Struthio camelus: one gene and its partners. The protein of the gene in region 4 binds, or shares a complex with, the protein of the main gene of each other region. Links are inferred from orthologs where the notes say so. Each region holds a gene or a part of one and is shown on either strand. Other genes may lie near its edges. The genes, in order: MAP3K5, ITGA4, CFTR and YWHAZ.

Region 1 (7,107 bases), on a different chromosome or scaffold from region 4:
AAGAGTTACACCCTGCTCTCTATTTGCATTCTTCAGCTGACATAGCCTCTACTTTTTAACGCTGTCTTGTTCCTAAAATGATAGTTATTTTTTACTAGCTTAAACTTTCCAGAGAACAACTAGTTCTTAGAAATACGTACTGTACATAAAATGTGGCAGGAATAAGGAAACAAGTACGAAAACATTCAGATCTTTCTAGATCCAAGTTCCAACTTCAAAGTCAACAGCACAAAACAGTTTTTGGATCACAGCTGGTTCATGACTCCTCGGCTCAGAAGGTATGGAGTATACTGGAAGCAGATACAAACTCGTTCTCGTGTCCTGCTCTTTTCAGCCCATGATCTGGATGTGTCTCTCAGTTTTTTGCATATTTATTAGGCTTAGCTACTAAAGCACAATGGCAAGGTATTTTTCCTGTTTTGCAACACTTTGATTAAGTTCCCATAACCAAGCAGTACTGAAAGAAAAAGCAATGTTTTCAATGTTAAACAGCTTGCTCAAAAGCCATTGAAATAAGCAATGTTATATTACATAAGCGTGCAGTTATGCAGTGTTATATGCCAGACGCCTACTGGCAGAATTCAAGGGGCCCACTTTCAAGTCAAATCTCCCGTTACAAGAAAAGCCTCTGTGAACTACCGAGACCCAAACCGCTGTAGAGTCCAGAGTGTAAAAACTAACAAACATACGAGGCACGCACACACAAAAAAAAAAAAAAAACAAGACACAGATAACCCAACCGTGTGAGCGTGTTATGATACCGCTTCCATGGTGAAACAAAATGAGACCCTCAGGTTTTAACTGCCCACCAATTAACAAGTGTCAGAGTTAAAATCTGATCTCTCTACTCTGTACGGGGAGAGGGTAAGAGCTACACTGGAGCGCTATTTCTTCCCATTTCCATTCGCTAGCATAGCCCCTTCCACTTCTGAAAACATTAACTCTCAAGGCACAGTGCTGTCGGAGGTACAAGACAAGCAGCTACACACTCCAAAACCGTCCGTCTCTCACTGAACTGAAAGCAGTAGTCCAGGAGACAAAGCTTCTGCAGTTTCAAAGAAGTAACATGCATATGCATGTTCATGCTGAAAGAATCTTCTGTGGAAACGGCCTACAACCCAGCTAGATTCTTTTCTTTCTTTTTCCCTCCCTCCTCCAAGACGGGAGGGAACTCCTGTATTAGCCAAAACTTTTAAAGTGCCCATTTGCCAGTGTATTCCACACACACAAAAACACACCATACAGTAGGCTTAGAATTCTGGGTCAAGTCAAGTTGCTGCTTCTATTTTTTTAAGGCAGGAAAACATTCATTCGGTAGTATAATTTTTCAAGTCTTTACAAATCTAGTAAGCAGCTGTTTTTATTCTCCATTCATTTTATGTATCTGCTAACAAAAAGAGAAATACAACAGTAGGAAGCTTCGGGCTATTATTTAAAAAATAGGGCCAGGTAAATCATAACAGATAATCTAGGGTCACCATGGTTTCAAATTAAGGAGCTGCAATTGTATGTTTATGAAAGCAGGCAGACGGGTGAGAGGATGCAGCACAGGGATGTTGTTGCCAGCTGACTGGATCAAGGCACTTTGTTCTACCCCATCCATCATAAACGTTGTATGCAACCAATATTTGAAGTACGAACTTCCAGGCACAAAAAACACACAGAGTGTCCCAATTACGCTGAACCTACTGCACAAAGCTGCCGAGCCCTTGCAGCACCTAGGCACTTCAACCGCAGCTCAGCACTTCAGCAAAAACCTGCCCCTCCCCCCCGCGTTTTTTTATGGTGATCGAGAAAAAGCGGTCAGGTCCTGCTTTATGCATAGGTTAAAAAAAAAAATGTACAAGTTCTTGCAGTCCTGACAACTGCTGATTCACAGCACGCTTGCTGACACGGAGTTTCTTCTCCAAAACACGTTGGCGGCGGGGGGGAAGCACTTGGCATACTTTGGCAGCAGCGAAGGGCCCGGGGGGAGCCGCGGCACCGCGGCTCGGCGCCAGCCCAGCGCCCAGCACCGCAGGGGCGGCCGGGGGTCACCGCCGCGTTTGGGGCGAAGGGGGGGACGAGCCCCCCCGCCCCCGGCTCCCACCCCACCGGCGCGCAGCGTTCCCGGCAGCGGCAGCCCCGGGGCCGCTGCGCCGAGGGCTCGGCGACCCGAGCTGACCCCGGGGGAAGGGGAGGGCGGCGCCGGCTGCCGCCGCTCCTCGGGGAGCCCCGGGCAGCCCCGGGCTCGCCGGGCCCCTCCCGCCAGGCGGCAGCGGGAAGGGGGGCGGTGCGGGGCCGCCGCGAGGCCTCGGCCGGAGCCGCCCGGGAAGCGGCGAGCCGAGCCGAGCCGAGCCGAGCCGAGCCGCGCCGCGGCGGTAAGGCAGGAGGGACGGCGGGGAGCGGCGATAGTAGATCGGGCGGGCGGGGAAGGGGGGGGAAGGAGGGGGGTCTCACCTGCGTTGTAGAAGCGGTCCAGCACCGCCGTCTCGCCGAAGTCCAGCTTGCCGAAGTGCAGCGTTTCCAGCGTGGCGCCCACCACCTCGCACGCCTCCCGCAGGCTCTGCAGGGCGCCGCTCTCCGCTGCCAGCAGCGGCCCCTGGCTCGCCTCGTTGATCACGTAGGTGACCGCCGTCCGCCTGCCGCCGCCGCCGCCGCCACCCTTGGCCCGGGCCGCGATGCCCGTGCCGGCGGGGCAGGCGGCGGCGGCGGCGCTCTCCTCGCCCCACAGGCTGCCGGCCGGCAGCGCGGCCAAGTCGGGCAGGAGGCTGCGGGCACCGCCGTCGGCCCCTTGCGCCCGCCTGCCGAGCCCTTCCTCGCAGGGGGGGCCGCCGCCCGCGGCGCTGGGCACCGACAGGCTGATGATCCCCTCGCTGCTGTCACTCATGGCCGCGGAGGAGCCGCCGCGGCGCGTCCCGGGCGCTGCTCCCGCGCGGGGCCGCGGTTAGGCGGATGCCATGCTGCGCCGCCTGCCCCGGCACGGTCCCGGCGCCCCTGCGCGCTGCTGCCGAGCTGCCGAAGGGGAGAGGCGGCCGGGCGCAAGTGAGGGGCTCCCCCTCAGAGGTTAGCGGAGGCTGCCGCAGGCAGGGAGACGAGCACAGCCTCCTCCGGCGCCGGCCCCCGGCACCATTGCGCGCCGCTCCCTTCTCCCCCGCCGCCGAGCGGCGTCACCTGCCGGGGCGGCCGGGCGAGCTCGGCCCGGCCCGGCAGCGCGGTCCTGCTGCCGCCGCCGCCGCCGCTGTCCCCCCGCGCCTCGGCCCCCAGCCTCTGCGGGCGGGCTCCGGGCGAAGTTGGTTGGCCGCCGGCAGGAACCACTTGTGGGATTGCTATTAGGCGTCCCCGATTTAGCCGAGCGACAGCTGCAAAGCTACTCGCGGCTCGGGCAGGGGCGGCCCGCAGCCACCAGACTCCTCCTCCCGCCCCGCCTCCGGCCAGAAATAAAGCAGCCCTGGCGGCGCTTTGGGCACTGGGGGCTCTTTGGCCAGTCGGGCGGGCGAGCTGTTCCGCGGCTCCGGGGAGCCCGGGGTGGGGGGCGCGGCGGCGGCAGCGGGTTTCGGTTAGGTCGGAACGGTGCTCGGAGCCGCTCAGGGCAGCGGTGGTTTTTGCCTCACGAGAGGGGAGGCGAGAGGGCCGGCGTCCCCCTTTGGAGGGGGGAGGGGGTGCCGGCGGCGGTTGGGGCCTCGCGCGTCCGCTTCCGGGCTCGCGCCAGGCGTGTGGTAACGGCCGGCGCGGGCGGTTGGGCGGGAGGGAGCAGAGGATGCCTGTCAGCCGGCGGCCCTTTCCCCGCTGTGTTCCGCAGAGCTTTATTTTTAATACCGCTTGTAAAAGGAGCCTGCGTCGGGCAGGGCGAGTGTGCTGCTGGGTTCGGGTTGTGCTTCCCCCCACGCTAACAGCCGCTGAGGTGAAGCCGGCCCCGACTTGCCTGAGGTTTTAATACGCGCTTTCACTTGCAGATGTTAGTTTTATGCAGGCAGGGGCTTATTTAAGTTAAACTAAGTCATGTGTAGTGACTCGGCATCAGCCTGATCCCGTGCTCTGAAAAACCGAAGGGAATTTTGGCCTTTACTTCAGGATAGTTCTTGTTGCCTTTTTTATTTTTTTTATGCACATCTTACTCCTAAACCCTGATAGTCTAGTTAAGTGAGTGGCTTTGCGTTTTGTGCAGTTAAGGGTTGTCAGGATTTAATAATCATTAACCCTTGTCTTCTACTCTTCTTCCTGTTTAAACTTTCCTCTCTTTGTGTTCCTGGATGGCCTCAAGTTGACTGAAGGTTTTGTGGCTGCCTGCAGCAGTACCCAGCTCATACTTCTTTTTAAAAGTGCCATACTGAAAAGCTACTCTGTATTTTGCTTAAATATATTGCATTGTTGTGTTCACCTGGAACTTGTCTTTCATGAACACTTTGGCATTTGATATTTAACAAATACTTCTTCATGGAAAAGCAAACTAATCTGAATAACTAGCATATCACCAAAAGAAGCGTTAATCTGGTGTAAGAGTCTTCCCAGTCAAGAAAGAAGAAAAGATCCCTTGATAGTTGAAGTAATATATATAATAAATAATATATAATATGAAAAACTTGCCTAAAACTTGCACATTGTTTGCAGGCCAGGAATGAATCGCTGAGAAATTCAAAATGGATTTGAAAAGGAAAGGAAGTTGAGAGTTTTTGCAGTCTGTTTCTGAACAAAAATACAGTGAAATCCTAATGATTGTTAGATTTTCTTTGGATTGGAGGAATTACATTAAGTAGATCCAGGAAAAGCATGGAGGAAAAATAGTGCTCTACATATTTATAGCTATGTTTGTTTGTATTATCAGTAAGTCCATCCCATTACAATTCATCTTGTTGAGACTAATCATCTTGTTGGCACTGAGCCTGTTCCTCTATCGTTGTTTTCCGTGACTGCTCTAGACAGAGGATCAATTCTGGAATAATTAAGAAAGATTAGTCACTGCAGTACCTTCAGTAGCCCTGTTTGCTTTTGCGTCGATCAGTCCTTTTTTCCAAAGAGATATGCCTGGCATTTGCTTCTGCTGATAACACATGGGTAAATGGGGTGAGAAGACGACGAGCAAACTAAAGACCAATTTACAGGTAGAAGTTAATATTTGTTAATCTGCCAGATACAGTAGGTTATTGTTTCTGGCTACAGTCAGGATGGCAATCAGTGTTTTTCTAAATAATGTAGTTTTCCACAAAACACAGAATCAGTGTTAATCCATTCAACGCTACAGTTGCATCACATTACAGGAAGCAAGAACAATATGTCTCTGTGGTGTTCTTTAGAACAGCCCATGTTTGTCAAGCGCAGAAGGAAGTCATGGACTGAAAGAAGGAAGAAGCATGCTAATTCACTTAGCGTTACTGACTTGTGAGCCTCACTTCATTACTAATGCCATATCCCTACCACGTTCAAGATAGCTCTATTGATTTGTCTGGGGTTGAGGCTGGGCCCTTAACTGAAAACAATTAAAACACTGATTAATATGGAATAGTAGACACAAATTGTCTATGCTTTTATAAAGGAAAAGCATATTTCTTTAATCTGCTAACTCCTTGAAGTGATGATTCATATGTTTAGGAGCTCTTCAATTTAGAAGTTTGATTAGAAGATGATCATTCAAAGGATTTTTTTTTTTTAAAACGGAAGTAGTATCCCGGTTGTTATCAGAAGTACGCTTAGCTTGTTCACTTTGTTTTCTGGGTGCTGTGCAACTAACATCTTTAGCACTAAGTATGGAATGTGGCCCTGCTTCCACTCTGATTTTTTCTGATGACAGAACTTTTAACAAGCAGTTAGATGTAAAATTGTTGAAATAAGAACCCTTTCTTCATTATATGCTTTTACAACCATAAATCATTGACCTCTGGATTTAACCAAATTATGATTTTCAACATCCAAGAATTTGGATGTTAGTTTCAAATATAAATGCAATTATTGGTAAGTGTCAAACAGTGTGTGACAGACATCAGAGATTTGATTTATTCACTCATACTAGTAATAACGAGACCCAAGTCAAAAAAGGGTAGTTTCCCTGAGCGTGTTCTGATTTACAGAAAGTAAACCTAAAATACATGTACAATGAAAAACGCTCTGTCCGACTTACGTTTTCAGTGTGATACGGCCTTCAACATCCAACAAGGCTGGCAGAAAAAAGATTCTAGAGTAACATGCCCGTTGAGTTTTCTTGATGGTTATTGGGTTTTAAAGCAGATGCTAAATTTCATCCATATTTTAAGACCCTCTTATTTAACTATACGACAGCATACAAAAATGAGAGATTAGAGATACGCTGTAAATTTTTCACTAATAAGCAGGAAAAAAGGAGTTTGCAAAACCAGAGTCCAATGTGCTTGAATTGTGGGTGGAAAACAGAGTATATAAAGAAACTTGCAGATGCAAAAATCCAAACAAGAGATCTTGAAAGTACACAAACTAATCCTGTTTCCATGAGCTTTAGAACAGAACTCTCACAAGCAAATAGATACGATCACTGAAATAAACAAATTGTTCTTAAAAGTTAAATCTTCTACCAAATGAAAGTTAAATATATCACTGTAGAAAATCAGAGGTATCCTTTATGTTCAATATGGAGAGGGCAGCATTTTGCTAGCAGAGTGCCAGCTGCCAAGTTTAAAAAGAATGGCAAATGCAGGATGGAACTAAACATTTAAAGCAGTTCTTAAGTACTAAGAAGCTGGAAAACAGAGACTGGTGGTCATTCTGCAGGGATGCAGTTGATCGTGTAACAGTAGTAATAGCATGATAAATTCACTTATCAAATGATGGCATGGCCCCCACAAATGGTAATCAGCTAAGACTGATGGAGCAACAAGGACACGTGGTGGGGGGTGGCTATTTCATCAGTTATTACTGGCCTTGAAGCCCGTGTATTGTGGAACGACAGACCAAGTGTAGTGAAAAATGTGCCCGTGGCAAGTCTCACGCTTCTTGCTAAATCTCCCTGTCTTTCTTCCTCCCTTCCAATGTGTTTCCCTCTTCTTACTTCTATTCTTTCAAATCCCCCAGGACAGCGTCCATGCTAACTGCCTTGTCCTTCTACTAACCTCGCTTTCCCCGTGTGACTCTGTATTCATTCCTGCAACCTCCTTTGCTTTC
Region 2 (7,087 bases), on a different chromosome or scaffold from region 4:
CATTTCTGTAACTCATTACTAGAAACTTATTACATGGAAAAAAGATGTGAATTCAGGTATTTAAGAGGAAGATAAACATGGCTATTTCTGAATTCCCGTCCCAGCAACATAATATATCCCTGCCCATTTTTCAAAGGAAATTACTCTCTTCTAAGAGATCAGAACCCAAACTTGTCATTGTCAAAAATCCAAGCAGAAGAACAAGGAGATCACTGATTGAAAGACATAGTGTTGATAAAACCATTATGTCCAAAAGCTGCTGACAGTCTGAATGAGTTAGATAAGAGATTAAGTTTAACTTTGCAATTCAAAGTCCCCTTGTGTAATTCTGTGACTACTCAGCATGATGACAGAGGCTTAACCAAACCCTGACACCGTCCTCTCCTTGATTTACATCCCATGCACTGCAACGTGGTTTGGCTTTTTTATTGACCTCACTTCTCACTTTATAATAGAACATTTATTTTAAGTATCTACTTAACTTCAGGTATATCACAGAACTACCTTGGTGTTATAAAGAAGTCGCCTATCAGTAAGGGAACAAACATTTCTGTTTCTCCTTGCGGTATAACTGTTTTTAAGAGGGTTGAACAAGATAGTAAACATCACTGTGTACCTGCAGTCTCTAAATCCGGAGACGGAAGACTCACTGAACCAAGCCTTTGGTACCACATAAACATTTTCAACTGCACCATTTCATTTAGAATCCCCTAAACAACCGAGAAAAAGCCATCAAGTTACTTTGTCAGAGCTTTGGTTTCTCCACTGGCTAAATTAATAACTCAAGAAATACTGCAGCGCTACAGTAGTATTCAAAGAACCTGAAACTTTAGCACCTTTTCCCTCTTTTTCTTCTCCCACGTAATCAATACTATTTTTACCCCAATCCAGAGCCAGGGATTTAATGCCTTTTAGCACATGCTATTTCACTCATTTAGTTGACTTCTTTCACTTTTCCAAACCTCCTGTTATAGACAAGTGGTTGAAGAAGAAAGTTCTTCATCATTTCGCAATAGATCTAATATTGGAATGAAATTACTCAAGAAGAGAACCACTTGGGCTGGAATATGTTTAATTACAGTTCTTTCTACAAGCAACTGCTTATCTCTTACCTATGTAACTAAAGCACCACCGAAGTATCTTAGCTCTTTGTAGCTTAAGTATGAAAATAAATCTTATTTCTAGCTGCAGGAAAAACTGTATGGAACTTATCAATTCTAAATGCTACATAAAGAAATTATTGTTTTGACCTAACATTTTTGCAGTAAAGTCTTGTATTCTGGCCTGAAAGTAAGTCAGCCCATGGTGCTTTATCATTTTTGTTGGTTTCAACTATTTTGAAAACCTTTTCCCGTGCTTCTTATCTTTACTGGGTGGCAAGTTCATAGTTCTACCGGCTCTAGTGACTGTTTCAGTTAGAGCAAAAGAGAAAGTTCAGGAAACTTTTTATGCGTAGCACAGGGATAGAGTTTGAACGGCACTGTATTCAAGGAGGATGAGAACAGAGCCCAAAGCAATGCATTCACGGCAACCAGTTGCAGAGTATGCTCATTTTGAGCAAGTATCAAACACTTGGAAGATGCCTGTACTTCACAAGCATGAGGACAGGGGAGGTGGAGAGAAGAGATTAGGTTAAATACAGGAGCCAGCAAATTTGACTCAGTCATGAATAGCTTTGGTCCCCTGAAACTCAGTTTATCAATACATTTACAGGTGGTAAGAACCCATCTGCAAGGTGGCTGTGCTTCACCGTTGCTTTAGGGTGGCTTCTACAAAGGAATGCTTTGCAGAGAAGCGATGATTTCCACCTTCCCTCCCTAAGTTAGCTACATTTGCGCTCTGCTTAGAAAGCCTAAGTAGCTTTCTGAAGAAAAGTATGAGACAGAGAGGGAGAACTGAAAATCTCAGGAGGGCTTTGAATCGGGTGCTGAAACATGCCAAAGAAAACAGGACGGGAATGGGAGCTGTTACATTAGGCGCGTTTCCCCTCATCAAGTTCTGTTGCGTTTCTCTCTGTAGAAAGAGATGCCACCTTCTCCATTACTTGATAACAGCACTGACCTTGCCCTTAGTGAAAGGCAAACACTGCTTTAATCTCAAAATGACACCAGGGGAACATCGCGAGGCGGTGAATTCAAACCGCAGGCGCGCGCGGCGGGACCAGGCCGGGCTGGGCCGCTCGGCCGTTAGAAACGGCCGTTAGAAACGGCCGCGGGGGGAGGGGTGAGCCCGCCGCGCCCGCTGCCCTCCGCTCCGCTCCGCGCGCGCGGCCCTGCCCGCGCTCGCGCCGCCACTCACCCAGCTGGAGCTGCTCGCAGCGCCCGCGGGGGTTCCTCCCGATCCGGCAGCGGAAAATGGCACCGGGGTTGACCACGGAGCTGTTGGCGGGCCAGCTCGCTCGGGGGGCGCCCGCGACGAGCCTGGAGGTCAGAAACGGCGGCGTGAGGAGGCGCGGGACGGACCCGCGCGGGTCGCCGCGGCCGCGCAAACTTCTGGCGCGTCCCGGGGGGAGGGGGGGGGGGAGAACGCGACACAACGAAAAAACGCCCCCAGCGCTCCGCCGGCCGGAGCTGCCCGCTTTCCCACCACGAGGCTGCCCGGCTCTAGGGAGCAGCAGCGAGAGCAGCGCCAAACGCCCCAGCCCGGCCGAGCGGGGGGCGCCCGCCGCCGGCTCCGCGCCTTCAGCCGGCTCCGCGCCTTCAGCCGGCTCCGCGCCGGCCGCCCCTCGCTGCCCCGCTGGGCTCTGCCCCCCGGTGGTGGTGGTGGGGGGGGGGCGCAGGACTCACCAGCTGTCCTCGCCGTGGCGGTGCAGGAGGACCGAGTACCCGAAGAGGGTCCCGTTGCCGCCCTGGAAGAGCAGCGGGTGCTGGGTGTCCAGGTTGTAGGGCCGCGCCGCGGGCAGGCCGTGCCAGAGCAGCAGCAGCAGCAGCAGCAGCGGCGGCGGCGGCGGGGCGGCCCAGCGGGCAGCCCCCCGCGCCGCGCCCCCGCCGCCGCTCCGCATGGCTGCCGGCCGGCCGGCCGGGAGACGGGCGCCCGCCGCTGCCTCCTGCTCGCGCTCGGCGAGAGGGCAGCGCCCAGCTCCTGGCCCGGGACGCGTCCGCTGGCGGTGGGGCAGGGCAGGGCAGAGCCGGGGCGGGGCTTCCCCTCGTCCGCCCTGCTCGAGGAGAGGAGGGTCCCTCGTGTCCCGGGGAGCGCGGGGTCGTCCCCTCCTCCCCCCCCCCTCTCTGCCAGCCCCGAAGACCGCGGGGCACGGGCGCCCCTGTGCCAGAGCCCGGCCAGCTCCCCGACCCGGGCCAGGAGGCCGCGCAGGCCTTGAGAAGATGAGTGAGTGTTGTGGTGGTGGTGGTTGTTGGGGGGGAAATAGAGCAGGCTTTCCCTAAAATGTCGTAGCTGACTTTCCCATCCCAGCTGCCCCTGAAATAACCGAGCCCATTTACTTTAATTTCCTGTTCCCTGAAAAGTATCTCCCCTGAGTGCCAGCATGGAAACACTAGCCAAAGCTGAGGCTCATCTTCTCTGAGGGAAATGGTGTGGTCAGATTTACATTCTCCTTAAAAATTTAAAAAGCTCCCAGCATCCCCCTGTTGCAAGTCTTTCTGCATTGCCGTTGCATTGAGGGGATCTCTCTTGCCTTCTCCTTTTGGTAGTGAGGTGGTATTTGAGTCCTAAAACTTGGGTTTTAACAGCAAAGGACAGGAACTATTTATTAAGATAGTTCATGCCTGGGTTTAGGAAGGTGTTGGCCAGGATAAAGCCTGGGGCAGATATGGGGCTGTGGACTGTGTTGGATGGCGGGAATGATGAAGGAGCATGCACACATTACAGCAGGTAAAACAGAATATAAGAAATCATACACTAAGGACATTGTGAGAAGTCCCCTTAATGATAACTGTTTAATCACCAGCCTGTCTCAGTTGCTTGCCTCCCTCCAGAAGGTATTGTTTAGCGCAGCATTAGCTATTAGTAGTATTCTTCTCCTTCCTTCATCAAACTGTGAATGCAGTGTTTTGGCTTGGCTTTTCAACAGAAGTCATTAAAACTATTACCAAGAGTTCTGTTTCACTGACATAGTTCAGGGCCCTTGTGTCAATTAATATAATCAATTACAGATAAGGCTACAAGTCCCATGATTCCATTTTTACAATTATTTTGATGCTGTTTTGCATTTCTCTTACCTCTTTCTTTGTGTGTTTAGGCTTTGTTTCTGACTTAATACCCTGCTGCATCAAATATCAAAAATGTAGTGTTTTTGATAGAGTGGTTTCTGTAGCTTAAATACCTTTATTTATTTATAGCGATGGTATAATTGTCTCCCCTATTGAAATATGAAGTCACATTGTAATTTCTTTGGTAATAACACAGGCAATTCCTGTTGACACATTCATGGCAAATTAAGTTATGTAGAGAGAAATCAGTTCAAAAGTTGAGGATTTTCCATAATTTAACTGGCTGAACAGCTTCGGCATCAGACAAAAGTAGGAGTTAGGTTCGTGTGAATGTTGTGCTTTGCTTCAGTCTCCAGTATGCTTTTAGCTGCCAGGAAATGGCCACTTTATATTGTTATTGCTGAACTACGAAATTACATTTATATTGTCCATGAAAAGCAAATACCCTTCAAAATAAAGTTGTATTATAGGAGATGGCCAGAAGTTTTGTTAAGTTGCTACTAGTATGTGGAGCATTTTATGTGCCAGTAGCTAATACATCTGAGACAAAACTATTACTGCTGAAAATTGCTATAGTTGATAGGTTTTGTGGCTTGATTGAAGAGATACTGATCTGAATCCAGTTTCAAATGCATAGCTGTAACAGCCTTTTTGACCCAACCTTTAAGACTAGATGGACACGCTGACAAGTTGGGGGGGAGAGAGACACTGCGGCCTGTGGTGTTCTATGCGTAAGTCAATGTCTTCCGTTTCCAGTAGCCTTACAGTGTATTTAGATATTAAAGTTCTTCTGATTTAAGAAATACCTGAAGCGCAGCTGTTTGATTTTTTTGTATTCGTCTATAGGCTAATGAAAAATACAGATTCCATAAAATGGAGTGCGTTCTTGACTCTATAATGGCTTTTGCAGAACCTTTTGTCAGCTTGAGAGTTGTTGTTTCACAGAGTAGCTGCCATGGAAGTTTTGAAGTGTGACTCCTAGGAATCAGCACGAGACTTCACCTGAGGCGTGCAATCCTTCTGAAGCCGGCCCTGGGGCACAATCAGCACCTGATCAGCCAGGGATCTCTAGTAGGAGATTTCTATTAATGTGCATCTATATCTCATCAGAAAATGTGGAGAGGCTTTCATCCTTCCAGATGAATATACTCTCATTTCCTTTGTTCTGAGAGGACACAAGTGCTTTTTCTGACTTTGGGTCTAAGACGGGAGAGGAGTATCAAGATTATGACAACTGCTGAGTTTTTCATTTGTTAGATGTCATTGAGTTTGGAGGGAGTAGGAAAGGAGGTCACTGAGGAAACAAACCTTGCCTTCCCCTAGGCTGTTTAATTTGGGGAAAGCAATGGTTCTGGGGGAGCCTTTTAGGGGGAAAGGAAGTCACTGTAGGAAGAACATATTGTTGTGAAAGTCTTGCATTTGCTCTTTTTCTATATAACCTATACTACTCCGTTTTCGATTCCCTGATTTGGATGGCATGTGTATTAAATCAAGTTCCTGTGTAACTTGGGTAGCTGATCACATTAATGTTTTCACCCTGTTGCAAATATAAGGGAAAGCACGCATTCCTAAAAATCTTTATGAACGTACTTGCTTCCAGCTGTGCCTGTCCTTGTTCTCCTTGGTATAATGAAAGTCTGTGTCTGTTTACGGAAAAGTGTCTCCAGATCTAATCTCAATTCAAAATCAAAATGATCACAAGGTGATTTCCGGTTCCAATTAGAAAAGGTTGAAATGTTTCATTTTGAGACTGTCTAAATACCTAAATGTTGTTATTTCAAACTGAAATTTTCTAAGCCTTTGTGATCCACTGAAATGTGGAAAATTTGGGGGTTTGATCTGACCAGAAGTGTTTCTTGTTGTTCTGTAAGTTTTTTTCCCCCAATAATAGCAGTCTTTTACTCATACGCTGTCATCTGAGAAATTAGCGAAGGCAAATATACCCTTACATTTACTCCGAAGAGTCTCTGCAAGAAAACCTCATCTTCCCTCTGCAGCAAGAGTAGAATATATTGTCCACTGACAAGTATAATTAAGCACAGGTGTCCAAGGCACTAAGAAGAAGCTAATATTAACAAGAGTATTTTTTTATTGTTATCCTTTTGTTCTCTTCAGAGATCTGATTTTGGTTCGAATCAGCTAAAGAGGAAGAAGCTTTTTTTGTTAATTGATAAATAATATTTTCTTTAAAATAAGTAACATTTTTATACTCACATGATGTCTTTTTAGGGGATGTTTTTTGGAAGTTTTTCATTCCATTGTATGCTTATGTTGGTGAAGTGAAGGATGGGTTTTCCAACATAACTTCCCAATATTTAAATTTATAATGATGTCATACAGATAAAGGCTATGGCATCCTGACCAGCAGAAGCAAATAATAGGTCGTTATAGTTCAGAAGAGGTATAACTAGTGACTGCATTCTGATTTATAATGATAAGATATGGGAGAGGAAGACTGGAAATTAATCATTGTATGTGTGTGTGAGGTAACTGCATAGGATATCCTCTTTCTTTCTTAGAATTTTGTGTAAGATTTTCGAGCTGCGAGATCAGGCCCAACCATAAATAATTAGTTTTGAGTAGGACTGGGCAGAAACCTCTTTTCCCATCCCAAAGGAATTGCTGAGCTTTTGCAACTTTCCCATCTCAAATACACACAAAGAGTATTTTCATTTGCTCCCTCTACATCTTCCATTGCTAAAGTCTCGATCAGCACAGTTACAATGTTTTTTGCACTTTTTAAAACAAATGTTTTATGTTTGGCACGAACAGCTATTTTGACATGAAAAGTAAATATTTATGTTCAGAGAACTTGAAAAGAGAATATTATTTAGTTCTGTTTTCTTTGAAAATTAGTGATTTCTTTAATCAATCCTTTCCTACAAATAATTTCCATTTCAGCATATTAATCTCTCTGAAGA
Region 3 (7,037 bases), on a different chromosome or scaffold from region 4:
TGGGTTGAACGAAACATTACAACTAAAAATAGTTTCCAGTTAACTAAAGGTTCTGAAATATTTGAGGGTTGAGTTAGAGTGAAATTGATTTTTATATATGATTGCTTCAGCCATCAAAGAAAATAAACGTCACCTTGATCCCTATTTTCTTTTTCCCTATCCTATCCAGAGAACCATTTTTTCTCCAAGGATGTTTTAAGGGATTTTTTCAGAAGATCAGAGTTATGAGACTAATGAGCAGAAAACCTATTTCATTTTAAGCAGCAACAAAAAATCAGTGACTGTAAATGTTACTTTTGGCAGCTGCTTAGCTTTTGTTTTCTATGATGATGCTTATGTGGTCATACTTTCTCTTTCCACTAACGACTTTTCTGTCCCTTTGTCCACTGATGTTGGCTAATGGATCAAGTATTTAAATAGAATTACTTTCCTCCACACTTGCAAATCAGCAGCTGGGTAAAAATCAAAAAACCCCAAACCCCTAGTGTGCTGCTTTACTTAGAAAACTCAGTTTGTGACTCCATGGCAGCTAAAGTCGATCTTACCCCTGCCTTGCCTTCCTCCTCTCTTGCCCCTTGACGTATGTTTGTACTCTTACTTATCTTGGCAGTAGTGCCGAGTAAGTTATCTTCCTAGTTAGTTCAGGGTGCTGATCCTGCTGAAAATGAATCACTCTATGGTAGAGTTTTCAGTTAGACCAGAACCTTGACTGCTTTACATGCAGTCCAGTAGTCCTGGAGGGGAATAGGAACATGTAACCAAAGGCAGGACAGAGGCCGGTACAGCCTCCAGGTGTAACTCACTTCTGAGTTTCTGTGAACATGGCAGCAACTGAGCAGCTGATCCGTTTCCTATGTCTGCGGCTTCAGACTCCCTACCGCAGGTTGTTTCTCACTTGGCTGGGGTATCATTGCACTTCTGCAATGATGCAGTATGGCAGCCAAAGTTACTGCAGTGATGGCAAAGGAAATAAGGCTTTGCCTGTTCTCCTGTTCACATGCCACCTCACTCTGCAACAGGCTCACTCCATTTTTTTCAAAAATTCGAAGTAAAATCAGATAGATGGTGGATGTGGATACAATTAAAGGATAAAGTAGCTGTTGTCATATCAGATTGCATTTCTGTGGAAGTGAAGGAAGATCACATTAATTACATTCATAGATAATACTAAATTTGGATGTATTTCAGCCCCTAGAGACAATAGAAATATCATGGTTTATTCTTGCGCATAGAAATGCTAATGACAAGTTTCTCATTCATGTCAGCTGGAATATGTTCAAGCTCCCAGAGAAGATTAGGAATAATGGCTGTTCTGAAACTACAGAATGTTCAGTTCGGGGGAAAAAAAAAAGGGCAAGGAAATTATTTGTGGAAAATTTGAAAAGCACAACTAGTTAAGAGTTTGTGACTGTGTGAGGTGAGATGGAAGCACATGAGTTCTATACAAAACTATCAGATCAGAGAGCAGGGAACTAATCACTCCTGGGGGTTTGGTGGTGCTGAAATAGCGATAACTGGTAGTTAAGAAACTAGTCAAATAGTCTTAAGTTTAGAGAAGAAATGTTCAAAATTAGGGATTTAGAGAACTTGACATATGAAGGGCAGTGGAATTTGGAGCTAAAAAATCAACAATAACTACTGGGATATCTTTGTTAGTCCCAAATTTACTGGAAATGCTCCTAAGTCAGCTCTGGTGATAATAGCAGCAAGGACTTTTATGGAAAATACTCCATTAGCCATTGACACTTTAAGCAATTTGGACTTGATCCACAAAAGGTTTTAAATGGCTAACATACCTCACTTTCTAATGTAAAATACAAAAAACCTTCTAATCCCCTGCTCAGTTTCTGCCTTATCTGAACACACCAGAAACCTAAGGGCTAGAAAGGGAAAGAGTCTGTAGCAGGCTAGTTCTATGTTGCTCAAAAGACTTGTTTTCCAGCCTGTCTTTAAATTGGCATTTAACTATTTTGTAACAGTGAAAGAATTTCAGAGAAAGAGATCCACTTCGATCATCTGTGTGTTAGGGCCCAGTGGGGAATTTCCTTGAGAGGTGGAAAAATGTGGATTCACAGCCTTGCCTTAAGTCAGGCAAAGGGGGGATTCGAATCCTAATCGCTCTTTTCTGGTTGAGTATGCTAGTCACTGAGCATAGTGGATACAGAGGAGTTAGATTGCCATTTGTCACCGCTTAATCGAGGAGAAAATCCATACCTTTAAATATGAAAGGGAGCAGGTACCTTCGAGTAGCTTAGAGCCCGGTGCCAAACTCCTCGAGGTGCAGCGTCCGCCTGCTCCCCTGTTCGCTGCGGCGGGGGTGCTGCGGTGCGGCAGCCCCGCGCCCGTGCCGCCGGGGCCCCGTGGCTCCCGGGCCGCGCGGCGGGCTCCGCTAGGTGGCAGGATGCCGGAGAGCTCCCGCTGCGGCGCCGCTCGGCTCCCGCTGCGGAGCCGCGCGCCTCCGCCGCTGAGCACCGCCGGAGCGGTGCGAGGGGGCACCTAGGAGCTCCCCACGGCCTGCGAGGAAAAACTGTAAGGCGAAGAGAAGTTCTGTATGAAGGCGCTGAGGGGTCTAGTGAGAAGCAGTGATGTGAAATAAAAGAAGAGATAGCCGCAAAGATTGCAAAGAGTGACAGCTAGTTAAATCGTAGCATAAGCTCTGAGACCATAAGAATCACGTTTGCCCGTTTAAAGAACCAGTGTGGACAGAAACGGTTGTATGCTTAGGAAAGCATGACCTTTTCCATTAATACTTTTTTAATTACAGAGGTAAAAGGCAACTGTGTAAATATCGTATTAAAATGTTAAATGAAACAGGAGTAAGTTATATACAGAACTAAAACGATCAGAAGAACTTATTCCTGCTTATTGTCATCTTTATTTTATTTTAAGCATGCTTTCTACTGCATGCTCTTTGAAAGCAGGGATTTTGTTTGTACACTACACGCATAATTCCAGAAGCAGCTTTGTTATTAAACGTCGGTGTTTGGGCTAAATTTTATGAGGATATACCTTCAATTCCCATTCCTCTACGTTCAAGTTGTCGTGCCTATGAGAAAACTTGAAAAATTGCAGCAACTGTATTTTAAAGTGAATGTTGTTGTGCGCACTGTTCTCATTTATTCTTATCTGAGCTCCCTGTCCGCTGTCTATTGCTTGTTTCAGTCATTTCACAGCGACGGCGTTGGCCAGCAGCGCGGCGCACGTGAATGGGGCCCCTCACGCCCTCTCTGCCATCGCGATGGCCCAGGGCGCTCCTTTAAGAGCTGTCTTGCAGGACCTCGCACAGGGGTCCTGGGGAGCCTCAGGCGGGATTGTGTTGGGTTTCTCCCCCATACTGGCGCTAACGGTGGGATAACTCGGGCTTTGGGCATGCACAGAAGTTAAACCCCGTTAAACCAGGCTTAGGCTCCCTTCGGTCTTAGAGGGCGCCCCCGCGCCTCTCGCGGACCGGCAGGTTTCGCTGCGGGTTTGCAAGCAGGTGGCTCGGGAGCTCCGGGTTGGGTCTGCGGCGGGCAACGGTGCGCGCGCGGGGGCAGCGTGTCCCCCTGGGGGGCTCGGGGGGGGTGTCTCCTCGCTGCCCGCTCCCCGCTGCCCCCGGTGCAAAGGAAGAAGGCACAGTTTAGAAAGGCGATTCGCCTCCTTGAAGGGCGAGGGAGGTCGGGCTGGAGGGGGCTCGCAGCCCGGCTCCCCGCCAGTCCTGCGGGACTCTGCGTTAGTGACTGCTGGCAGGGCGCCGGAGCGCAGGGTGTGCGAGGCCCAGCCAAGCCGCGTTGGTAGGAAGAGTTAATGGGCTAGCGCGAAACCCAGCGAGGAGCCGGGGGAGGAGTGTGTGTGTGTGTGTGTGTGTGCGTGCACAGTGGGGAGCTCCGGGAGCCGCGGGGCGCGCCCGGGTGCGCGGCGCGGCGGGCAGCGGGTGCCGGGCGCGGCGGGGGGGTTGGGAAGGAGGAGGCGGAGGAGGAGGCGGTGGTGCGCGGGCCGGCTCCCGAGCCCTCCTGCTTTTGAACCTGGGCAAAGCAGAGGCGGGGAGAGGGGCAGGGGAAGGAGGCAGGCAATGACATCAGAGCGGCCCGAGCGGATAAGGTGGGAGAGCCGCGGGAGCGGAGCGAGCGAGGCGTGAGCAATTAGCGGCGGCCGGCAGTTCCCCGCGCCCAGCCCAGCCCAGCCCCGCGCCGCGCCGCGCCTCCCCGAGGCAGCCCCGGGCACCATGCAGAGGTCCCCCCTGGAGAAGGCGAACATCTTCTCCAAACTTTTCTTCAGGTAGGAGCCTCGGCGGAGCACGTGCGGGCCGGGAGGGCGGCGCGGGCGCAGGGCTGCCTGGCCCGGCGGAGGGCTCGCTAGGCGCCAAGGAGCCCCAGAGCAGTTTGCAAAGAGAGCAGTGGGAGCCTTGCTTGTCGAAAAGTGATGTGATCTTATCTGGCTTTTTTTTCTCCCTCTAGTTTTTAGCACTAGGAATGGTCTCTATCTATTTGGTGTCATAAACCGTCAGTGGTCCTAGACAAATTGATTTATGACACAATTTGAGCAACCTTTGGTAAATTGCTCAACTACTTAATTTGTTATTTCACTACAAGCTGTGAGATCACGGGGCGGGGGGGGGGGGTGAATGATCTGAAAGCAAGGGTTCCTTCTCCTTGACTTTCCATTTTTTTTCAGTTCAATATGAATGTAATACAGGATCTTACTGGAAATAGTTCCTTGTAAGCCTTGAAAGTGTTCCCTTACGAGTAAAGTCCCTGGCATCTTTTCTTTCTTGCAACTTCAAGAAAAAGAGGAGAAGGAGCCAATACCCCAATGCCTGTGCACCACACAGTTCATAAGACAATTCAGAAGCCTGAAAATGTTTTACATGATATTGTTGGAAATAACACTACCAGCTGGAAGGAACAAATGATCTTTCTGACCCATGTGTCAGTTTTGCTGTTTTCCAAGGGAGCCGGCTTCCCCTTTTGTTACGTGAGGGTCTTTCATGCAACACCTAAGGGAGGGAGGAAATCTTACATGAAACATGGCCATGGTGACTGAAGTGAGGACACGTGATAGAAAACCATAACATTGGCACGAGGTTCTTGGCTGAGATACTAACTGAGGGCTTTTAACTCACTTTCTAAAGCTTTTGGGATAACTTCCCTTTTCAGCAGATTGGCATAGATTTGGACTTTTTTTTTCTTAGTTTCTTAAGAAGTGGCTCTTTATGAATTATTCTGTTTGCTTGCCTGCTCCCCTTTGATTCCTTTGACCGTTCATTTCAGCCAGATGAGATAGCTGTGAAGGATCCCAAACACAACCAGTTTCTCAAGTTTTGTGAAATGCCCAGCTGAAGGAGACTCCTGTCAGTGTCCTCTACAGATGCTGCAATGTGAAAGAAGCTGTACCTGTACTCAAATGCTCTTAGACCCAGAGAGTGTGGATTAGTGGGAGTGAGCCCTTATAAATTCTCCATAGAAAAGCTTCAGTTGGTGCTCCAGTCAAGTGTAAGATTCAAATCTGTAGGAAATAAGGCAACATATTAACTTTGTTGCTCGTGGAATCATTTGTTCGATTTCATTTTATTTATTTTGCAGCTTATAGCAGCATGCTGTCCTAGAACTTGTGATGCTAAAGATGTCAGGCAAAATTCCCAATAAAATATATTGCTGATTCTTACCTTAATTAAAATTCCCATGTCCAAAAGCAGATGCAACTCATGCTCATTAACCTTGAGTCTGAGTCTTTATGTCAATTAAGTGAGGTTTGAATCATGCGTATCATGCGTGATGTGTGATATTATACTGTCTTATGATAATATTATGATAATAAATATATCAAGAAAAGAGATATTTATGGTGAATATTGACTAGAACAGAAGAGTTTCTGTGCAAAACTTTATGATAATATTGCTTCAAAGAAGAAACAAGCTATTAAAGTAAGCATTCAGTTCACTGGGTAAGAATAGACAAAATTATATATAGACTTCTATAAAGAATCCAACATGATATGCTTCTGTGAATTATAAAATTTACTTGCATTTTACCATGTATATTGGTAAAATATCTCTGTTCAGAATTATTATATGAAATATTTGCAAAGATCACAAAAGTGAAAACCACAAGATAAAAAATATTACATCCCAATTTGCATCAAGAATGTCTTTCTCTTAAAAAAAACTCTTTGGAAAAATGAATTATTTGTAGCTGTGAAACATATGAGCGTGTTTTAAAATATTTGCATTCATTCCTCACTGACTCAGAATTTCCATCTCATCAAATTAATATCAGGATCAATGTTAAAAATTATTAGAAGGTAAATTATAACAGAGCAAACATTTATCAAGTATGAGGATTTTACAAAACTTAAAAATATATTATTTGTGATGAGCTTTATAAAGTCAGAAGAATTTACTTATGTATCACTAACTAAAGAGACCTGTTCTGTCAGCTGGAAACATCCACGAAATTGTGGTTAATGAATTAGATTGGATCAAGGTTTTGTGAAATGTCAGATTATTTTGTTAGTGTTCTAACTGAACCTACACATGTCCTTGGTTTCTGAAACTGATCATATTTAGCAAAGCACTTCAGGACATGCCCACATTTAAGCATGAGCTTTAGTTCCATTAAACTGTGTGAGATACAGAAGTCATGAGCATTCTATCAGAAAGAGGTAGTCAGTTCTTAAAAAAAAGAAAAAGTTATGTCTGGAAAAAAGATATTACTTTTTCCAATAATGATTAAATAGTTGTTTTCAAGTGCAACACTGAGGACTTCTTCAGTGAAATAACTTTTTTAGTAGTTGCTATGGAACTATTTGTAAAGTACAAACCTGAATATAGTGCAGTAAGTTGAAAGTTACTATAGTGGAAGTATCACTAAAGAATAAAATACTATTTTTCAGGAAAGTCTTGCTGATAAATGTAATATTATTATTTAATATTGCACAAGCTGTTATCAGCTCCCTGATAATAGTATCTGTAAGCCCATTGGCAAGGATCTCTTGCTTCATCCTATGTCCTGTTCAGGCTAGGGATATGTTTGAACATATTAAAATGCAGAATGGGGCTT
Region 4 (7,323 bases):
CCTTCCGTCTTTTGCTCGATACTTGAGACGACTCTCCAAGATGACCTACGGGCTCCTACAACATTTTTATAAGCAACAGAGAGAAGATTCCTCTCTTCGTTGGACAACTCAGCTCCTTGCTCAGTCACAGACTTCATGCAACTTGCCATGTCATCATATCTTTCAGCTTGCTCAGCCAGTTTGGCCTTCTGCACCAGCTCATTTTTATCCATGCTGATCTTTCTACAGAGGAAAAACAGGGAGGTATTATTCAGACATTTATCAAGGACAAAGATGTTTTAATGTCATATGCAGAGCAACCGTTTTCCAAGAAGTCTGAAATTGTGAAATGTACAACCAAAATCTAGAACACAAAGCAGGCAAGCTCCAATGCTCAAATACATGAGCTGAAGACTTCAAGTCACTGCCTCCTTCTAAGGAAACGTTAACTTTTAAAGGAATATTATTTTAAATGTTTACAAATATAAGCATCCAAATGTGAACTGAAAGCAGATCACTCCTATCTCAAGCATACGCACAATCCCAGTCCTTTGCCATCACTCAGTTTTCTCATATGAGTGCAGTAAAGATGCAGCATCAGCTGCATCTAATTATCAAGGTAATAAGATTGACAACATAGGAACAGACAAAATACAGGCTAGTCAAACAGTATGAGACAACTCTGTGCCTTAACAGGACCTTATATTTATGTGCAGAAAGACTAGCCATAGGGATCTGCAAATCAAACCCAACACTGGAGGCTGAGAAGTCAGAGCTCCCTAAATATTCAAGCAGTTTCAAGGAGTACACCCTTTGACAACGTTAGCTTCCTTTCCCAAAACGGTAATAGGTTAAATCCTCTCACCTAGGCAGTGCTCCTCAGTCTGAGAGGTTAGGTATGCTTTCACAGACCCAAGGAGACTTCACTATTTAAAATATTACTTGAACATCAGCTTTTGAGACAGCATGAGCTGGCTGAGATACTTTATAGCCTGTATCACATCCAGACTCTTTAAACCAAGCTCTGCCAAACGAAGATAACCGACATATTTTTTTGTACCTCAAGACATGATAATCCTACCTCACCCCCCAAGTTTTCATGTATCTTGATCCAGTCATTTTTCAGGTCCTTACTATGTGCTTTGAAATACACCCTCCTTTAAGGTTTTATTATTAAGACGAGAACCAATTCTGGTGATATATGCTACATTATTTCTATACATTCCAACTAGCAACCTCACACATAATAATTCAGTAGCTTAACTTTGGTCATTTTACATAAAGTTACCACAAGCACTAACTGCAGTACCTCCTATTTAAGGACAAACAAAGCACGTTTTAACATCCTAGACACCTGAAAGGAGAAAGTTTTAGCAGCTGCTCTCCCCAACGCTGGCACACAGCAATTCAGTGGCTGTTCCACAGTGTTTGCTAACATGTGCCGAAGTCCTGACCACACTATAAGTAGTGGGTTAAGGAGCCATTTTAAAGAAAGGTTTTGGCTACGGTTGTTTCACCACCCGGTGCGACTAAGGCAAACGTGGTTTGAATGTTTGTCTGAACGCCAGTTTATCTGGCCACCGGGCTACCCATTGCCCGCAGACGGGTACGGCAGTATCCCTTCCGGGCAGCCAAGCGGCCCTTGGTTCTGATGGGTGAAGACGACCGCTCTGAAGCGCGGCGAGGACCGGAGGATGCCGCTCGGCACGCTGGATGACAGCATAAAATGGTGCTGCGGGCAGCCGGGCGGGCGGCCCCCCGCGCGGAGGCACGCTCGGGGACAGCCCCGCCCCGCGCCGCATCCGCCCGCCGCGGAGACACCGAGCGCCTCGCTGCCGCCTTTGTCATGGCGGACTGGCGTCGGAGCCCAGCCCACTTCAGTGCGCGTTAATCCCACTCACCTCCGCCCAACGCCGGGGGGCGGCGGCGGAGGAGGAAGATGCAGCGTCTCCGCCCCGACAGCGACCGGCCGAGGGGAAGCCCGCCGGCCCGGCCCCGCCGCCCCAGTGGCCAAGAGGAGGACGAGGGGGGAGGCGGCCCCCGCTCCGGGGGAGCCGCCGTTACCGCCCGCGGGGCTGCGGCCAGCCTCGCACGCCCCGGCGAGACCCCCTCGGCCGCGGTGGGGCGGGGGGGAGGCGGAGGAAGGCGCCCGGGGGGGGGGGGAATGGGGGAGGAAGGAGGGCAGGGCGGAGAGAAGGGAAGCGAGCCCGACGGAGGGGCGGCCGCTGCGGCTCTTCCGCGCCCGGGCAGCGCTCCCGGCGGGAGACCGCACCCAGCGACAGCCGCCCGCGCACTGCGGGCCGCGCTCCCGCCCCCGCCCCGCGGAGGCGTTACACCCCCTCCCCTTCCCGCGCGGGCGCGGCGGCGCGGTCGCCCCCGCCCGCCAAGGGCGGGACACCGCCCCTGCGGCCCTCACCTGCCACCCCCTCCGCCACCCGCCGCCCCCAACGGCTCCCCCCTTCCCCCTTCCCTCGCGGGCGAGGCCGGGCAGGGAGGGGCAGCCGCGGCCTCACCTGCGCGGGCCGCGGCGGCCGCCTCGCTCCGCTCCGGCTCGCCCGCCCCCTCCCCGCGGAGCCCCGGCGGGAGCCGCCCTGCCGCCACCGGCGAGGCCGGCGGAGGGGGCGGGGGAGGTCTGCGCGCTGCCCCCCGGCCGCCTCGCCTCCCTCGGCGCGCGGGGGTCGGGGCCCGGGGCCGCCAGCCGGGGCGGGAGCCGGGAGGCGGGGCCGCGCGGCGCCGCGGGCCCCGTTACCTGTGCGAGGCGGCAGCGACGCGGCGAGTGTCTCGGGGCGGACGGCCGGCGCGGACTGTGCCTGTCTCGCGGCTCGCTTCGCTGCAGCCTCTCTCCCAGCGCCACACACGGGGTCTCCGCCAATCACCGCGCCGCAACGCACGGGCAGCGCACCGCCCGTGACGTCAAGCGGGGCCATGGCAACGGCGAGGGCGCGGGCGCGAGCCCGCGCCTCCCCCGGCGCTCCCTGCACAGGGCGGAGGCCTCGCCGACCGCCGCGGGCGCCGGCGGCGCGCGCGGGGGCGCGCGGGGGGGGGGGGAGCGGCGGCCACGCCTAAAACCGGCGGCTCCTCCCGCGGGCGCGCGCCTTCCTCCTTCCCTCCCTGTGACTGCAGAGGCCGAGCGAGCCCGTCAGGGGGGCTCGTCCTCGCTGCCGCAGGGCCGGGCCGGGGCGCCGCCCCTCCGCCAGCCCGGGCCTCTCACCCCGCCACGGCTGGGGCAGGGCCGGCCGGGCAGGCCCGCCCCCCGGCGGGGCCGCGGTCGCCGTCGCGGTGGCTCTGCCCGCAGGCCACGGAGGCGGGGGGCGGCGGCGGAGCTGTCCCGGGCCTGGGTGGAAACGGGGCGGGAGGGCGGCAGCGCTGAGGCGGGCTCGCGTGGGGGCCCCTCGCCCCAGGGGGGGGATGGCAGTGTTGAGGTGGGCTCGCGTGGGGGCCCCTCGCCCCGGGGGGGGATGGCAGTGTTGAGGTGGGCTCGCGTGGGGGCCCCTCGCCCCGGGGGGGATGGCAGTGTTGAGGTGGGCTCGCGTGGGGGCCCCTCGCCCCGGGGGGGGGGCGGCAGTGTTGAGGTGGGCTCGCGTGGGGGCCCCTCGCCCCGGGGGGGGGATGGCAGTGTTGAGGTGGGCTCGCGTGGGGGCCCCTCGCCCCGGGGGGGGGATGGCAGTGTTGAGGTGGGCTCGCGTGGGGGCCCCTCGCCCCGGAGGGGGGATGGCAGTGTTGAGGTGGGCTCGCGTGGGGGCCCCTCGCCCCGGAAGGGAGGGGGCGGCAGTGTTGAGGTGGGCTCGCGTGGGGGCCCCTCGCCCCGGAAGGGAGGGGGCGGCAGTGTTGAGGCGGGTGCGTGTCGGGGCTCTTCGTTTACCACGCCCAGGGACTGACCCATCGCCTCAGCTCTGTGTTTTCCACGCTTGGCTGTGGGGTCTGAGATTTTCCAATTAAAATGAAAAACGCAAAAATGTGCAAGGCCCTTCCCCCCCTCCCCAGTTTTCTCCGAGTTTCTGCCACCTTTTTCACTGCAGCATCGTGATTGAGAGCTGCTCTGACGGAGGCAGGATCGAAGGGTGTGCTTGGGGGTACAAAATGGAGGGCAGGTCCCTGTAAGGGCCTGCTGGCGCTGAGCGGCAAACGGAACCGGGTGCGGGGACCCAGATCCTGAAGCAGGAGCGGGGAGGGGGTTGGAGGTTCACATCGGCAGATGCAGCGCAGGCCGTGGCTCGGAGGGGCCTGGAGGGCACCCTCGGTTGCTGGGAGGAGCCCAGGAGTCATGGCAGGGCCCTGGGGGACACTGGTGTGGGAGCAGACCATGGATGCCAAGCTCTCCCCTCGCAAGCTTCTCCAGGCATTTTGGCCAGCACTATGCAAAAGGTGATGAGAAGGTGCTGAAAGGAGTAGGAAACGTATTAATGAATATAGCTGTTGCTGGGAAAGAAGAGTTTTGAAGTGTTTCCTGAAGGTGGTAGAAGCCTGTATTCACTTGACTTCTGTTGGAAGAGTGCCCTGGCTTGATTCTCTGCCTCAAGTATGTCGTGTCTTAAGCTCCTGTACACTTTCTTCTGGACTTTGAGATCAGCACTGTCTCACAGAGTTAGAGATAAAGAGTTCAGTTTGACATTGGGATCTGATTGGAAGCAACTGAGATGCCTGAACAGAAATTTGGTGTGTGAACAGTAGCCTGAGCTAGGGAACAATTTCAGGATGCTGCACTTTGTGGTCATCTGTGGTTGATATGCCTTCAGGGGAAGACAGAGGAAGCATCTGCTCTTTGCAAATGGTCAGTTACAACACAGGGGATGGGAAGACTTTGTGATACAGATTTATCTAGCATCTGATAGTGTGATGGAATATGAACATCTTCACTGGGAGAGGGAGATTCCCTCTTACGGACTTATTTCAAGCTCTTGTATTTGTGGGAGATTCCAGTAAGCGCTCCACCTTATTCCTTTTTAATGCAAGATATAAACCCTGAAATCATGGTTACATGGTTGGCTACAGTGTCTCAGCGGGGGAGCAGTAACTGGAAATCAGGCAGCAGTAGCTTTTTGAGTAACTTGACTATTGAATTTGACTATTCATTAAGAACAACTCATGCAGAAATAGCCAAAACACAGCGTGGACAAATATTTGTGTAGACAGAGTCAAAAAAATCTGTCGGTTGGACAGTATGTGGGAATAACATAGGAAGAGTGAGGTACTTGCTTGTGAGAAAGAAAGAGGAAGCTATAAATATATTGGTATTCTTGACGAGTGACCTATTCCTTGTGAGGAACAGGTTGATATGGTACAGGAGAAAACAGTATGAAGAGGTTCTGCAAACTTACTGCCTTATGTGTTATGCCTCCTAGTCTTTCCTGCGTGTCTTTTTCTATGTATTTTCCATCTATGCACTCCCAGGTAGCTTCTTGGCCTGCTCCTTGTCTTTCTCCCTGAACCGGTAAAATGGCTGTAGGCCTCAGAATGTGATAAAATCACACAAAAATGGGGATTTTATTTCTCAATCTTCAAAATGACTCTCCTGTGCTTTGACTAAATATCAGAAAGGCTTCGTTTTAAGTTCCTCCTGACAAGCTTGGCTTTGTCAGAATAGGACCTTTAAAATTTACTTTAAAATTGTATCATGCAAAGAACAGTTACATTTTCTGTGGTGGCATTTTGCTTGTAGCATTTATGGATCTGTTATTACCCTTTTCATGGCCTAAGCGGTATGTTGAGGTTTGTCATAATGTACGTTTTTTTCTGTATAAGCTTTGTCCAGAAACTTCTGTTATCTTAGACACTGATTGAACAGTGGGGTATTCTTTAGCTTTCTCATCAATTCTAGTGTCCTCCATTTACTCCAGGGTTTAGAGAATTTCACTCATTTTCCTGTGGAATATTTCTGGAACAGCTGTGAAGAGAGCTGAAAAAAGCAAAATATTCAGAGTGGTGGGCAATATCAGGTAGAACAGAGCTCACCAGAATTTCCTAGCTGTGTCAGGTGAGCAAATCATTGTTGCTTAATTTAAATGTGAAAAATACAACCTTTTTGTTTCCACGATGATAACTTTGTAGGGCTATGGAGATAAAGGGGAGTTCATTTCTGTAGCAAACATCGTAAGGCTCAGGTTCATAATATATTCCAATACGCAGTTCTTCATCTGATCCAGTTTTGTTTTTTATCATTATTTTTCACTTTAGGAAGCAATAGGATGAGAGCTGTACTTGAACACAGATGGTACCATGGCACAGCATTTGCTGCAACTAGCTTGAAGTTATGTTACAGAGTTCATTTTTAACATAAGCTTTAAACCTTTATTTTGCAGAAAAGTCTCACTGAAATGGCATCAGCCCAAATATAGACTTTATGTTTTGAGTGCTACTTGAAATATTTTGTGGTAGCATGTTGAAAAACGAATGGATGCAGGAAAAATAATAATTCTTAAAAGTATATAAAGAATCTGCACTGGAGCATATGTTAGAGGAAGCATAGGTATCTATTGCTTTTTGCTATCTTGTGGAAATATAGGTGAAAACCTTGTGAATTAGGCTGTTGATAATACTGTAGGCAGCATTAATAGTTTTGTGGGAGAAAAACATCAGTCTTTCCGTTCACCTCTTTCCGTTATTTCTGTTTTTGGAGTGAATGGAAGGTCTCCCGCAACAACCTTAATTGCCACTAACCAGAGTTTTTGTTTGCTAACAGCCCCATATGTCAACAGAATCTGCACTCATTCTCCTTTAAGTAGGCTATTTTTGCCAAACACCATTTCCACTTCTCTGGATTTCATAAACAGCTGCCATTTGAAACAGATCCAAGGAATTAGACATTACTCACCTTTGCATATGCTGTTTCTCGAACAGATACTCGCCTGCTGTCTTCTATTCTTATGTTTCCTGCACTTTTTCCCCAGTGAGGAATGTTGTGTTTTGTCTTGCTTATTGCAGTTTTGACCAAAGAATTAGGCTCTTGAAAAGATAAGCTTTGAGCAGTTTCCCTTTTCTTCAGATGCATTTTCTCTGCTGCTTTCCACACAGCTTTTTGTTCGATGACTTGCACTTTCACTATCTCAGACTGTCAGGCATGCTTCTCAACATCTAGAAGCAAAAACTCATTTGCAGAGCTAGACACATTTCCATATAAAAGTATATATATGTATATTTATGTACATTGCTTTTCACTGTATTTTCTTTTTCTATGAGAGGAAGAAGTGAAGGGAAAGAAAAGAAAATGACCGCAGATACCTTTCTTTCCCCCTCCTAAAGCAGCATTTAGTTCTTTCTTCTCTCTCATCTTTTCTCCCGTAGGTATTTAGTTATTCCTCCCTCTGCCTAACCATATCCAATTAAAAGTGGGTGGGTAGCAAGGAA

Evidence for each region.
Region 1: the proteins of YWHAZ (region 4) and MAP3K5 are in contact, whole or in part, in a crystal structure (PDB 6EJL), measured with the Homo sapiens proteins. The link is inferred for Struthio camelus from reciprocal best matches to the Homo sapiens genes YWHAZ and MAP3K5. Residues at the interface, in NP_001129171.1 of Homo sapiens: Val46, Lys49, Asn50, Arg56, Lys120, Arg127, Tyr128, Glu131, Gly169, Leu172, Asn173, Val176, Tyr179, Glu180, Ile217, Leu220, Asp223, Asn224, Leu227, Trp228; in NP_005914.1 of Homo sapiens: Ser964, Ile965, Ser966, Leu967, Pro968, Val969.
Region 2: the proteins of YWHAZ (region 4) and ITGA4 are in contact, whole or in part, in a crystal structure (PDB 4HKC), measured with the Homo sapiens proteins. The link is inferred for Struthio camelus from reciprocal best matches to the Homo sapiens genes YWHAZ and ITGA4. Residues at the interface, in NP_001129171.1 of Homo sapiens: Lys49, Arg56, Lys120, Arg127, Tyr128, Glu131, Gly169, Leu172, Asn173, Val176, Tyr179, Glu180, Ile217, Leu220, Asn224, Leu227, Trp228; in NP_000876.3 of Homo sapiens: Arg1007, Gln1008, Tyr1009, Lys1010, Ser1011, Ile1012, Leu1013.
Region 3: the proteins of YWHAZ (region 4) and CFTR are in contact, whole or in part, in a crystal structure (PDB 5D2D), measured with the Homo sapiens proteins. The link is inferred for Struthio camelus from reciprocal best matches to the Homo sapiens genes YWHAZ and CFTR. Residues at the interface, in NP_001129171.1 of Homo sapiens: Asn38, Arg41, Asn42, Ser45, Val46, Lys49, Arg56, Arg60, Glu113, Phe117, Lys120, Arg127, Tyr128, Glu131, His164, Pro165, Ile166, Gly169, Leu172, Asn173, Val176, Glu180, Ile217, Leu220, Asp223, Asn224, Thr226, Leu227, Trp228; in NP_000483.3 of Homo sapiens: Arg764, Arg765, Arg766, Gln767, Ser768, Val769, Leu770, Asn771, Leu772, Met773, Thr774.

Annotation. Positions count from the first base shown.
Region 1 is NC_090944.1:74,131,193-74,138,299, forward strand, and holds the start of MAP3K5 (mitogen-activated protein kinase kinase kinase 5), read right to left. Parts: upstream 3,020-7,107; 5' UTR 2,870-3,019; coding exon 2,440-2,869; intron 1-2,439. UniProt on the Homo sapiens protein: Serine/threonine kinase which acts as an essential component of the MAP kinase signal transduction pathway. Plays an important role in the cascades of cellular responses evoked by changes in the environment.
Region 2 is NC_090947.1:18,678,733-18,685,819, forward strand, and holds the start of ITGA4 (integrin alpha-4), read right to left. Parts: upstream 3,002-7,087; coding exon 2,787-3,001; intron 2,421-2,786; coding exon 2,299-2,420; intron 1-2,298. UniProt on the Homo sapiens protein: Integrins alpha-4/beta-1 (VLA-4) and alpha-4/beta-7 are receptors for fibronectin. They recognize one or more domains within the alternatively spliced CS-1 and CS-5 regions of fibronectin. They are also receptors for VCAM1.
Region 3 is NC_090942.1:28,687,579-28,694,615, reverse strand, and holds the start of CFTR (cystic fibrosis transmembrane conductance regulator), read left to right. Parts: upstream 1-4,026; 5' UTR 4,027-4,204; coding exon 4,205-4,257; intron 4,258-7,037. UniProt on the Homo sapiens protein: Epithelial ion channel that plays an important role in the regulation of epithelial ion and water transport and fluid homeostasis. Mediates the transport of chloride ions across the cell membrane.
Region 4 is NC_090943.1:146,168,224-146,175,546, reverse strand, and holds the start of YWHAZ (14-3-3 protein zeta/delta), read right to left. Parts: upstream 3,016-7,323; 5' UTR 2,729-3,015; intron 223-2,728; 5' UTR 213-222; coding exon 1-212.